Caenorhabditis elegans: one gene and its partner. The protein of the gene in region 2 interacts with the protein of the main gene of each other region in a pairwise test. Each region holds a gene or a part of one and is shown on either strand. Other genes may lie near its edges.

The links.
Region 1: the proteins of unc-83 (region 2) and bicd-1 interact in a two-hybrid assay, tested with the Caenorhabditis elegans proteins (one study listed by BioGRID).

The regions. Positions count from the first base shown.
Region 1 is NC_003282.8:6,566,188-6,574,121, forward strand, and holds the start of bicd-1 (Protein bicaudal D homolog), read right to left. Parts: upstream 6,150-7,934; 5' UTR 6,142-6,149; coding exon 5,941-6,141; intron 5,531-5,940; coding exon 5,054-5,530; intron 4,670-5,053; coding exon 4,532-4,669; intron 4,272-4,531; exon of another isoform or gene 4,251-4,271; intron 4,158-4,250; exon of another isoform or gene 4,137-4,157; intron 4,080-4,136; coding exon 3,887-4,079; intron 3,570-3,886; coding exon 3,382-3,569; exon of another isoform or gene 3,364-3,381; intron 3,298-3,363; coding exon 3,205-3,297; intron 3,152-3,204; coding exon 2,908-3,151; intron 2,739-2,907; exon of another isoform or gene 2,717-2,738; intron 2,217-2,716; coding exon 1,834-2,216; intron 1,731-1,833; exon of another isoform or gene 1,710-1,730; intron 1,327-1,709; exon of another isoform or gene 1,301-1,326; intron 1,052-1,300; coding exon 875-1,051; intron 635-874; exon of another isoform or gene 614-634; intron 162-613; coding exon 42-161; 3' UTR 1-41. UniProt on the Caenorhabditis elegans protein: Part of a complex with dlc-1 and egal-1, which is recruited to the nuclear envelope by unc-83, where in turn, it recruits dynein to the nuclear surface and regulates nuclear migration in hypodermal precursor cells.
Region 2 is NC_003283.11:6,463,458-6,468,294, reverse strand, and holds the start of unc-83 (Nuclear migration protein unc-83), read right to left. Parts: upstream 3,231-4,837; 5' UTR 3,083-3,230; coding exon 3,011-3,082; intron 2,862-3,010; exon of another isoform or gene 2,662-2,861; intron 1,909-2,661; exon of another isoform or gene 1,728-1,908; intron 1,291-1,727; coding exon 1,192-1,290; intron 331-1,191; exon of another isoform or gene 122-330; intron 1-121. UniProt on the Caenorhabditis elegans protein: Cargo-specific adapter that is involved in nuclear migration during development and thereafter.

The DNA of each region.
Region 1 (7,934 bases), on a different chromosome or scaffold from region 2:
TCGTCTTCTCATCGTTGTCACGTCATCACCTGACCACCAGCTTATTGCTGATTGTCTCCCCTGCGTGGCCCTCCCCTCGAGCCCCCCGAAGATGAAGGTGCTGGCTGTTGAGCTGTTGTTGTTGAACCCGGATAACGAACTGCTCTCGGTGGCTGGTAGGTCTGAAAACGGAGAAGATTAAATTAACTTCTAGAAGAAAAAAACAATTTTTTTGGATTTTTCAAAGTAAGAAAAAGTTTAATTTTGTCGAAAACTTTTCCAGAAAATCATAACATAGTGCTTGAAAATTGCCGTTTGTAGCTAAAAGTGCGTAAAGTTTTTTGGCAAAACTTCAACTTTCGAGCACTATTTCAAGATTTTTTCAAGCTTTTCACCAAAATTAAAGTTTTTTCTGCATTTCCATACCAATCAATTGAAGATTTAAAAAGATTGGATTGTCATATTAAAAAGGCAGTTTTGTACGTTTGGCGAAAGATTTGTGTCTTTGTTAAAAGGTTTTTTTTATCGTTTTAAACTAAATTTTCCAATTTTTTTCGTTTTTTCTTTGTTATTCTTGGCATATCAAATAAATTTCGAAAAAATTCCCCAAAAGAAACAATCCGCCTTCCAATGTGTTCTGTATATCAAAAAATCATTGCTTTTTGAAATTTCAACATTTTTTTGTGAATGTTTTGAAACAGTGAACATAATTAAAGGCGGAGTATCGTCTGTTGAGATTTTTCTTCAAATTAGAGAAAATGGGTCATAAAGAACTTTAAAAAAGTTATTTTTAAAAAAATTTTTAAAAAAAAGACTGTTTTAATTTTTATGGTTTTTAATCAGTGATTCCATTAAAGACGTCACATTGGACGATACTACACCTTTAATATCTCACCTCTCTAGTTGGAGCTCTTGTACTACTCCTCTTAAATACCTGCCTATCCCGATCAACTTCAACCTCTTCTAAACGTTGAGTCAATGTGAGCTTCTGTTGAATTGCTAAACGAAGAAGTTGATTTAATGTCTTCTTTTCCTCTTCATTTGCACGCAACTCGTTTGATAGTTCTTCCACCTGGAAAATTGTTAAATTTGATTTTAAAATTTACAGAAGATACTACTCCAGATACGATTAAAGTGATAAAATATTGCGTTTTGACCATATGTTTTTTTCAAATTCAGAGTTCAGACACTAAATTCAAGTAAAAAACAAATCGAGTTTTAAATGTTAAAAATAATTCAAAGTAAACAAACTGTACGAAGATGAAAATTAAAAAAAAAGTATGTTTCAACTGCTACAGATACAATAGAAGTGAGAAAATGGTTAGATATACCCCTATGACTATCAACTTAAAATGAAGTTCAATTCAAAATAAATCCTTTGTGAAACAGTAATTTCATTTACGGAAAGTTTTAATTAGAAGATGATCGCATCTATCAACTCGGCATTTGGGGGAAACTTTCTTTAAAAACTTGACAACTTCTGTCAAACTATAGTCAATATCTGTTAACGTTTAGCTGTTGAGAAAGCAACTAACTTGAGAAATTTTCATTAAGCTGCCAGGTCAGAAACTTGACTCCAAATAAAAATTTGTAAATTTTGAGAAAACGATTTTTTTTCCAACGAGAAAAATAATTCAAAGTAAAAGTTAATAACCCTAAAAAGTTTAAATATTAAAAATAGTTTCTGTTTCAACTACTACAGATACAATTTAAGTATATCTATTTTGTAATAGGGAATCTGGAATGGAAATGTTTGAATTAGTAATTAAACAGAGCTACCGTATGTCATATTATAAAAGCTATACTTTTCCCGAAATTAGAAATTCCTAACTGTTTCAAAACAAAACTAAATACCTTTGACTTGAGTTCCTCTCCTCTTGCAGTGAACATTGCCCTATGAGATGCAAACGTGGCAGCATCTTCCTTCAATTGTTTCAATTCTCTTCTCATTTTATCATTAATTTCCATCATCATTTTCTTTTCTGATTCATATTTTTCTCTCATTGAAGTCAATGCACTTTCAGCAGTCAGCTTATTCGATTTCAAAACAGTTCGAAGCGTTGAAATCTGATCTCGTTTTGTTGATAAAAGACTTCGCAATTTCATATTCTGCATTTCAATTTCATTTTCAGCTCCACTTGCCATAACTGCTTGATTGAATGCTTGTTCAGAGGTTCTTTTCACCACTTGAATCATCTTTTTCAACGATTCTGTGGTTTCGGAAATGGCATTTCCTTCTGAAAATAATGTATTTAATATATTCGAATGTGAGAATGAGATGTATATTGGCAAATTGAAAGTTGTAACGTTTAATATCAAGAGTCTTAATCACTCTTTAAATTTAACGCCATCAAACCTTAAATGAATGTTTGATACAAAGTAGTAAATTCAATGCAATATTGAAAAACATACTGCTCATAGAATTCCAATTTATGGAAAAAAAAAGTTGGTTGAAACAGTAATTTTATTTATCTTCCAAAATTTTTTTTATTTCAGCAACTTCTCTAAAACTAATAATTATTCTTGAAAAATTTAATTCGAATAAAAAATAAATTTTTCCTGCTTCTATTAATCGATTTAAATATTGCTAGACATTCCAAATATTTTCAACCAAATGAAGTATTTGAAGAAGAATTGTCTTTTGGCAAAGCTCTTTTTTTGAATTTTTCGATTCAAAAACAAACCAGTAAGTATTCTAAGTATACTAAGTATACAGTAAGTACAGTAAATTCAATGTAGTGTTGAAACCTCGACTCAAATAGCTAATATAAACCCAATTTATGATAAAAGTTGGTTGAAACAGTAATTTTATTTGTCTTTCGTAAAATCTCGTTGTTTTTTTTAATTGTAGCATCTTCTCTAAAACTTGTACATTTTTGGAAAAGTTTTGTATCCAGCTCTTTTTTGCGATTCAAAAACTAAACAAACCAGTAAGTATTCTTTGCCTCAAATCAGTCTCTGACAACACATCGCCAATCTTGACACTTGCCAACTTTTTCTCAATTTCCTTCGCAAAACTTGGCGCAATAACAAGACGATCGGAATTCAATGGAATTGATCTTGATGCATTAACATCTGTCTCTGTTCCACTTTCAACTCCTTCATCTGCCAACGAGACACGTGGAACGTCTTCTGCATTGGCACGAGCCAATAGACGCAACTTTTTCACAATCTGAAATATACAAAGTTCTGTTCATTTTCTATAAATATTAAAATAAAATTTACCTCTTGTACACTCTTTTCTGTTTGAACTCCTTGGTTCTGTGTCATTTGATGGTAGAATTGATAAAGTTGATCGGAGACTTGAATCATTGCGTCCTGAATTTTCAACATTTACATTTTCATAATGTTCTTAATTTGGTTCGCAATATGAAACTTTTATGATTTAATTCAAAAACTAACTTGAGCAGCTGCCAACTGAGCACTTTTCTCTCCAGCAACCAATACAAGTGTCCTCAAATCAGCCTTCAAAATTCCCGATCGTTTTTCTTCTCCTTCTTTATCATGACGGTCAGTGTCACGAGCAATGTTCTGGATTTTCTCTAGTACAACGTCTTTTTGTTGACGAGCATGCATGTAGTCGAGCTCATCTGTAAAGAAAACTTTGTTAGGGAATGCACGGGGGAACTAATTTTTTAAAAATTGAATAATTTTGAATATAACTAATTGTAAATATGATAAAATATTCATTTTAAAGGAAATTTGCGAAGCTTTTATTCACCCAAAACCCTGAAAACTCTGAAAAACTACATACATCTACGCTAGACTCCAATACTACCGTTGACCAATATGAAATGAATGTGAAACATTGAAAAATTTGGTGAAAATTGAATGTTATAACTTTTCACCATGTCTTCAATGGTTTATCACACTCCAAATCAAACTGAAATGTTCTATTTAAACTCACTTGTTGGTCTATGAATATTGAGGGTGTCTGCTAATCCGGTTACAAATTCGATGAAAATCTTCTCTCTGCTCTTTAATTCTTCTTGAAGTCCTTCCTTTGCAGCTTCCAGTTCACGAACTTTTACATCACTTGATCCTTGTAATTCACTGAAGAGGTCACTTGCTCCAGGTTGTGGAGGTGGCAGTTCGCCGTCCTAAAAAATTACTGTTTCATAAGATTTATACAAAAATGTTTGGTGTTGAGCGTGTGGTCCGTTAAAAGCATGTGCCACACTTTCATTCAACAATTAATTCAAGTGTTTCTGCCATTTCATGCGCCTTTTGAACACAGAAATATTAAAATAACATTTGACTAAATAATAGAAAAATCGATACCGAAAGAACAAGCCTACAACACTCCTCTTGGCCAATATAAATTGAATACGAAACATGTGAAGCTCATTTTTCTTTAAGAGCAATTTTTTCTTCCCAACTTGTTAAGTTTAGTTTCAAATTATCAGTTATCAAATGTATTTTTAAAATTCACGTATACAAAAGACATTTTGTATATAAGTGTTTTAACAAAATTTCACAGGAACTTTTAAAATAGGAAAACAAACTTTTATTAAAAGTTAATTGTTTTAATTTTTTAACAAAAAAAACAAACCTCCCCAAGCCTTTCCAATCCAAAAAGCATATCATTTAAACTACTGATATGCTCTGCATTTCTTGTCTGTTCTAATTCTCTTTTCATTGCCAATCGCTGATCCCGTTCTTGTTGAGCTGTGAGCAGAGCTTCTTCGAGCTGAAATATTTATGATAAGTTGGAAAGTTTTTCATACAAAAATTGAGGTTTTGAAAATATACATTGAGGCGACCCGTTCAAAAATTTCAATGAAAAACGGGAGCTATAAAATAATAATAACAGGTTATAAAATTAAAATAAAAGTTGTCTAGTTTTCGTTTTTTTTACTGTTTCAATCACCTAATAAATTTTGTATTGTATTGTATTGTATTTATTACGATTCAAATCGTGATCAAAAATAAATAGTGAATAGACATGAAAATTTCATAATGTTTTTGCAGTTGCAATTCCAAACAAATAGGGAAATGTTTGAAATTATTCACATATTTTTAGGAAAACTTGTTAAAGTTTCTGAGAGAGTTGTAATTTTTCAAAGTGTCTCACCTGTTTGTCAGCAATAACTCTTAATATTTCATCTTCCTCTGCAGCCATTTTCATAATTTCAATAGTCTCTTCCAATCGATTATTATCAATTCTTAATGATTCATATTCCACTTGACTTCCTCTTAAATTTGCAACAGTCTTCTGTAATCCAATATTTTCTTCTTCTAACTCTGAATATTCAGAAATTAATCTTTGTTCTCTTTCTTTTGTTTCTTTTAATTCAGCTCTAAGTTTTCTTCTTTCATCTTCTAATGCAGCTCCAGAATCGATTTCTTTCGAATGTTTCTTTTCAATACTTTCCAATTCTTCTTTCTTTTCTGCCAATTCTTGTTCTTTTTTCTTAAGATCTGCTTCTAATTTTGCAATTCTCTGTAGATATTCCTCTTCTTTTGCTGAACTTTCCTCGAGTAGAGATTCTTCATTTTCGAGTTCACTTCGAGTGGACCGTTGATGTTGGGAACGGTATTCAGCAAGAGTCTGAAAATAAGAGCAACTTGAACAACTTGAGCTTCAATAATAATTTTGTTAACACTTTACTAGTCTTTTGTTAAGCTCAATTTTGGCAGCTCATACATCTTCATCAAAAATTGTAAGCTGACAAAAATGTTGATTGTTCATTTTTCTATATTTTTACAGTTCAAAATTTTATGAAATATTTAAAAAAAATGGTAAGAATGACTGCAACAAAACGAAAAAAGTGAAAAATTTTCCTATATTTTTGTTACCTACCTGCGTAAGTCTGAATAAAATTTTTTTGATAGTTGCATGCTTATATTTTAAAAATAAATGAAATAGTACGAAAAATTTCGAATATTTACCATTTACTTGAAACATTAATTTTTTTTCAATATTTTTTCCGATTTTTATTTTCGAAATCGAATACTTACCTGATTAGTTTTATCAATTTCAGTTCTTGCCAAATCCAATTCTGCCTGCATCTCTGCTAATCGTTTCTCTAGATCTTCCTTTTGACGGAGCAATTCTAAACCCGCATTTGCTGCCTTATGAATATCTTCTTTGGCTTGTTCATATTTTTCTGTAAGGATTGCAATATCCTGACGAAGCTTCTCCAATTCTGATTCAGCCATTGTGGCTGCTGAAATTTAAATGTTAGAGAGTTGGAAATATCAAACATGAAAATAACTTAAAAAGGGGGAAAAATACTTCACTGAGTATTCCTTTAAAAAATTGTTGAAATAATTACAATTTGAAACAGGAAAAAATTTAAAAATTTAAATTTAAATAAAATGTTCTCAAATGACCACATTTTCTTTTAAAAACAAAAATTAAACAAAACCAGGAATAAGTAAATTTCAAAATTTCCAAGATATTAGTGCGACAGGTTCAATTTTGGAAATTTGCGTTTTGTCGACTAGGAGAGGGTGTCGAAAAACTAATTGTATATTCATAAGGTTTTCGTTTTCGGCTCCCGCGAGAGAAATAGTACAGGTTGAGAGGAGAGTTTAGAGATAGAGGTAACACTAGTTTCAGTAGAATTATGAAATGAAGAATGGACTAAAGAGAATAGAGAGAAATAGGGAATAGAAATGAACAAAAAACAAATAGAAGAGAATGGAAGAAAGAGTGGCTGACCTGACACAAATATTGAGTGCTGTTTCGTTTTTTTTGTTCACTCGGCAGCCAAAATCGACACAAATGCGGGGCGAGACTACTGTTCTAATGCCTCCGCAAACCGTTCTGGGTGGAGCACGGAAGACGGGGGAAATCACCGGAAATTGATGAGTCAGATCATTTTTTTCTTTTTTTTTTGGAAGGAAAGTTTAGTCACATAAAATGATATGGTTTTGGGGTTATTGATTGATTTTCAAGGAACTGATATTAACCATGCGAGTAATAACTGTCAAAGAATAGCTCTCGTTTTAAGCTTAAACCTAGAATTTAAATTTTTGGGCGAAACTACCTTAATGCTCTGAAGACTTTGGTTACTTATTTTTGCACTCAGCGACAGAAATTGTACAAAAATTAACTACAATTGTTTATAAATGAGCATAAATGGCCGAATTTCATAATGTGATTTCTTGAAAATTTTGAAAATTTTTTAGTTATGCCGGATGAAAATTATTTTTAAAAATCGCATTCTCCTAAAGTCTAAATCTAGAAACGGGCTTTTTTTCAACTTTTCAATTTATCATCTTAATTTTCTAGTTTGAGTCTTTATTCCGGAATTGTTTAAAGCACTCTACTGGCATTCAAATTTTGAAACATTTGTATTCCAATAAATTTAAAATATACTACAAAATAGTGTGATAACTGATCATGCTTTTATAACAATTCATTTCCAGACGCTGCGACAAAAAATGACAGTCTTAGCGCTAAGTATAGATTTTTTGAAAGTTTTGGCTCTTTTCTAATGTTTCAATCAATTGAAAAATTTTGCTACTTCACTTTAAAAACCTTTCAGAATTCGGGTAATGTTTCAAACTATTGCATATTTTTCCAACCAATTCTGTTTTGGGTATTTTTATTATGTGTTCTTTTTTATTGGTTTGTTACAACATTTTAGTCATTATAACAAAAAAAAATCAAACGAGAAAAAATTTAAATTACGTATGCAAGAGAACAGTTGGGTAAAACTCGTAGAAGCTTATTAAAAAATTTGCAGAAGTCGATCAAAGTTTTGCAGACATGCAATTTTTCTTGTAATTTAAAAACAATTTTTTAAACAACACAAAAAATATTTTTGATTAATAATCGAATATATGTATTACAGTATGAAAAATAATATTGTGTTTCGCTTGGAACTAAAAAAAAAGATGTACATTAAACGAACAAAATTTTTGAAAAACTTATCAAAAAATATAAACAGTAAAAAACTTATTTCTCGAATAAGGCTAGATTTCTCTTGCACTCTACAGTACTA
Region 2 (4,837 bases):
GAAAAATTCAGTTGTACTTTTTTGGAGTGATGAAAATAAAAAGTAATTGGTAATCTTCTAATTACAACCTGATCCCCTATTGTGTCAAAATTTATCATTGAAAAGTTTAAAATTTCTAACAATAACTTCAACTCAATTCCCATCTATCTCTTGGTTCTCAACAATCTCCAATTTCATTCGGAACGGCAAAACTGCGCACACTATTGGGGGCCACTTTTCTGTGGTTCGGGGGGCGAGATGTTATTCGATACTATTTGGTATAATAATTTAGGAAAGCTAATTGAATCGAAATGTGTGGCATTTTCTCAGGAGTCAGTGGCAGATAAAATGAAGGATCTTCATCAAAATGTTTAGTAGTAGAGGTTGCACAATCAACCAACTACATTTGATTAATGGGTGACCTTCCAAACAAACGGCAATTGCCACAAAAATTGGGTGAGTATATTGAATGAGTGTGGGAGGATAAGAAGCACAGAGAGATGAGTTGCAGTGGTCATTTGTTATCTCATTGAAAAAGAGCAAACGATTTGAGGATACTTTCTTTTTAAAAATTTTAATCATCGGATATTGAGAAGTACAACTTTATACCTTCAAAAATTGGTTTTTTTTTGTTGTTTACTCTATGATTAACCGCTTAAATTTAGATGTAGTTCATGGAGTGAACAAAACTTACTAGTTAGAGCAAGAATAAGTTAGCTATGTTTTTGTGAATGGGAAGGGTTTATTTTAATTTATCATTCCTAGATCAACAAGTCTTGAAACTTCAACCAGAAATTAATTCTGGTAAACTTTATGTAAAAACTGTATTTGGAAGATTCAAAAATTCCCTAAAGCACAGGCAAAAGGCTTGTCAAGTGAATGTTTTCAGTTATCCATCACCACATCTGCCGTAATATTTTCGTACCAGGCTTGTGTTCAATTGACAGGCTCGTAACGTTTCTCTTTTTGATAATTGATGACCCCTTAAACTATTGCTATCTCTTGCTCAATCAAATGGACAACTGCCTCAAGTTTGCAAAACTTGATCTTGATATCAGAGGGCTAAGCAAAAAACTTTGTTCAAAGAAAAACTAGAAGAAAATCGAGAAAAACAGGAGGTTCTTTTGAGGCCAGCTACACCTAATTACTCTCCCAGTTTCACTTGATCCATGGCAACCAAACGACACAAGCAATAAAACAAATAAGACTTACTTTTGAGGTGAGGTTGTGCAACGAGTCGAGGATTAAATTGTAGAGCGAGGAGCAGTTCTCCAAAAAGATATCCACTTCCTCAGCCGACGATTCGATGACCTGGAAATTAAATTATTGATCATTAAAATGGGCAAAGTAACAGCTGGAAAGATATCTAGGAGATATTTTTAACGATGGTTGTACACGCGCAATTCGATCTTGTACAGCTGCGTAGTGCAATTTAATAAAACAGTTTATAATTTGATACAAATAAAAAACCAAAAAAGGTGAAACAAGATTTTCAAAAAAATGTAATTTGTTATTTTCATTATTTAAAATTGTCAAAATTATTCTGAAAAATTAAAATATGCGCCCATTTTTCTAAATGACCCTCACAAACGATTTAACGACAATCAATGGCCACCCGCTCTACCAAAAAGAAGTGCTTTGCTTTCAGTGTGACTGTAAAATTGGTAATTCCGAGTCAATTTACGATTTCTCGACCTTCCGGGCGGCCCACTTTGCAATAAAACGAAGAGTAAACCTGACGTTAATCGATTCAATTGCCAAAATTGAGAGGATCAAGGAACATGGCACAGGAATCGTTGTGTAGGAACAACCAAGTTTGGAGAAATGCACTCGAACTTGCAAGTTGCTCTTCACTGCCGAGATGCGCACCTCGAGAAACACTTATGGTATTGGGCACTCGGAATCATTCTCTTCTTACTAACAGCTTTTGCCAAACAAAGTTACTAGTAGTCGCGCTCTGGGAATGTGTGTGAATGGCGTGAGGATTCAATGGTCCGCATATTGTTTTTGGAAACAAAAAGAGAAATATGGGGTAAGTCAACAAAAAAAGGTGTCCATGAATGTGTTGACTTTGCGGTACCTTAACAAGGAAATCTGGGAAATACCTATACTTACTAATAATACAATGAAATATTTTACAAGGAACCTAAGGTGTCAGTCAATTATTTCTCATGCGAATCTTTTAAATATTAAAAAGTATCGCATTTTAAAGGTTTTACACATCATTTAGCGGACCAATTTTGATAACTTTTATGTTTTTCCTGAAAAATGGCTCTCAAAATTATGTGCAAAATCTCTGAAGATCAATATAATTATGTTGTCTGAACTTGATTCTGCGCTTTTTTGCTAATAAATGTACTTAGCACATAGAAATAATTAATATTTTTTAATGATAAATTTTCGCACACTGAAATATGGGAATGTCTTAAAATCTCTTGAAATTTAAACTCCCGTCATCAATAGTTTTACACTTTCTCCTTCAAACTTCTTTTCAAGATAACCACAGTTTTCAATTCAATTTACTTCGTCGTCCCCCACCAGATCAAAACATTCGATAAGAAAAACTAAACGATGCGGAATTTGAATGTGCGACACTAACTCTTTCCACCTCCAGTTATAAATCTTTGAAGCACAGCGAAAAAAAACTTCAGCCGTTCGTCTTTAGTCAATCGAAAGAAAAAAAAAGATAGCGTGGAATTCGGGATTTTTTGCGCCAAAATTGAAAACTCGGCCTCTCGGGCTTTTTGACAGCTTTTTGCAAACAATTGATGGCGCAAGGGTAAATGCTCAAGCATTTTTCAAAAAGGCACTTTCAATAATCAAATAGATTTGAAAAATAAAATTATTTTCGCTCGTTTTGGTTTAGAAAAAAACTACATTCTACTTTGGTTTGAATAAAGAAATCGAACTTTTAATTTTTTTTCTCCTACTTTTAACGAAATTTTACTTTTCAAATGAATTCAATATGCAAGAAAATGCGTTGAAAATTTTAAAGTATTTTTTTTTCGTAAAATTTAAAGCTCTGCCTCACCTTCAAAAGATGGTCCTCCGATGATATATCATTGGGCATCTCGACCTCCGAGAATGAGTCCATTACGTCCATTCGTAACCTGTTTTCGGGTTACTTTCGGTGTCCAGGAATAAAAATAAAAAAATCAGAGAAGTTTGTATCCAGACGTGGGATACTGTACTGGTAGGGGTGGACGATCAATTACGCATCTGCGCAATATGATCACGGATGAGAAACGGATCTGGAAAAATTTAGTTTAGACGGAAAAATACTTAATCAAAACGAAATGAGGTGAAAATTTAAAAATAGAAAAAGTATATACAATTTTTTGTGTGTAGAACAAAATAGGAAAAATTTCGTGAAAAACAAAGAAAAAGAGATTAGTTGTTTCATTGGAGCTGAAAATAAATTTCAAGAAGAGATTTCTGTTGAGATCAAAGTCAAGAAACGGAAATTCAAGTCATATTGAGGATAGAAAATTTGCAAAATATATACTCAATTCAAAACTAGCCTAGTTTACCAAAAATCTATGAAAATTGTGTCGAGCAGTAAAACATCCTTTTAAAGATAATAAAAAATGTTTTTAATAAAAATGTAGAAACACACGAAAAACTTCATAAATGTTTTACTTATGTATAGTACGGTTTCCATAAAATTTGTTAGGCCAGTTTTTGAAAATCCAAATAAAAATCCATGGATTTCATGCCCTGGACAACAAGCCATCGCCCGCAAAAATGTTCGCAAATTAAAAGATAAACATAGAAAAGTGTGAGATGCTCGAAATCTGCCCCCCAATCCGAAGTCTCCGCCTTAATAAACAATAATACTGATGAGAGAGGAGAATCTAGAGAGTTGGGAAGAGAAGCTTGTGATGATGATGGATTATCATGTCATTCACACAGTTTTCGTTTCTTTTCGACACCTGATAAAATAATAAAAGATGATAATTATGATGGAGATATTGTTTTATGAATTTTTATGAAGATTTATGAAGATATGAAAATATGAAGAGATAGGTGTGAAAGTGATAAAAAAGAGATTGGACCAGGGAAATCAGCTGGAAGATTTTATTTTGTGTGAAAAAGTCTCGTGATTTCCAATAAAAAATATTAAGCAAAATTTATGGAAATTATCACAACGAGGTCCAAGAAATTTCCAAATTACTACAAAATAGGTTGTAGCTTTCAAAAAAAATGTAACTTGATTTAGAAAGTTCTGGAAAATATCAATTAACAAAACGTTGGAAAAAATATTTTTGAACTTGTTGAAAATTGAATTAAATTCCTTTTTTTTAAATTCAAGTTTCCACCCATTCATTTTTCAATTAAAATTGAATCTATGGAAAACTGGAAAGGAACAAATCGAAATTTTGAAAATGTTCACGAATAGATGTCCAACAGCACATGGCCCTGACACTTTTCGAATTTATTGGTTTTGTTGCAACAGGAAGTTCCCCCAATAAATGTGATAGAAACACAGTGAAACGATGGGATAATGGACCCAAGTTAATGGAGTCGGAAACGGCAGACAGCCCCGGCTCATTTATCACCAATGTGCGAAACATTGTGATACTAAAGTAGAAAAGGAACACTTTGTAGTGCCCGAATGTTTTACGAGTTTTAGAAATGATTTGAAGTACAATTTAGAAATTTCATACTTGAAATATTCTGAAGAACATTGCAAAATTTCAAAAAGAAAACATTTGTTTCTAGACTAACATCAAAATTACAACGCATTACCAAAACTGCAGAATAAACTTCGAACGTCGTGTCTAATTTGTTTCACAATTAAAACTATTTAGGCCCTTTGTCTCAAATGTTTGAGGGAATCTACGGCAAGTACTTGCAT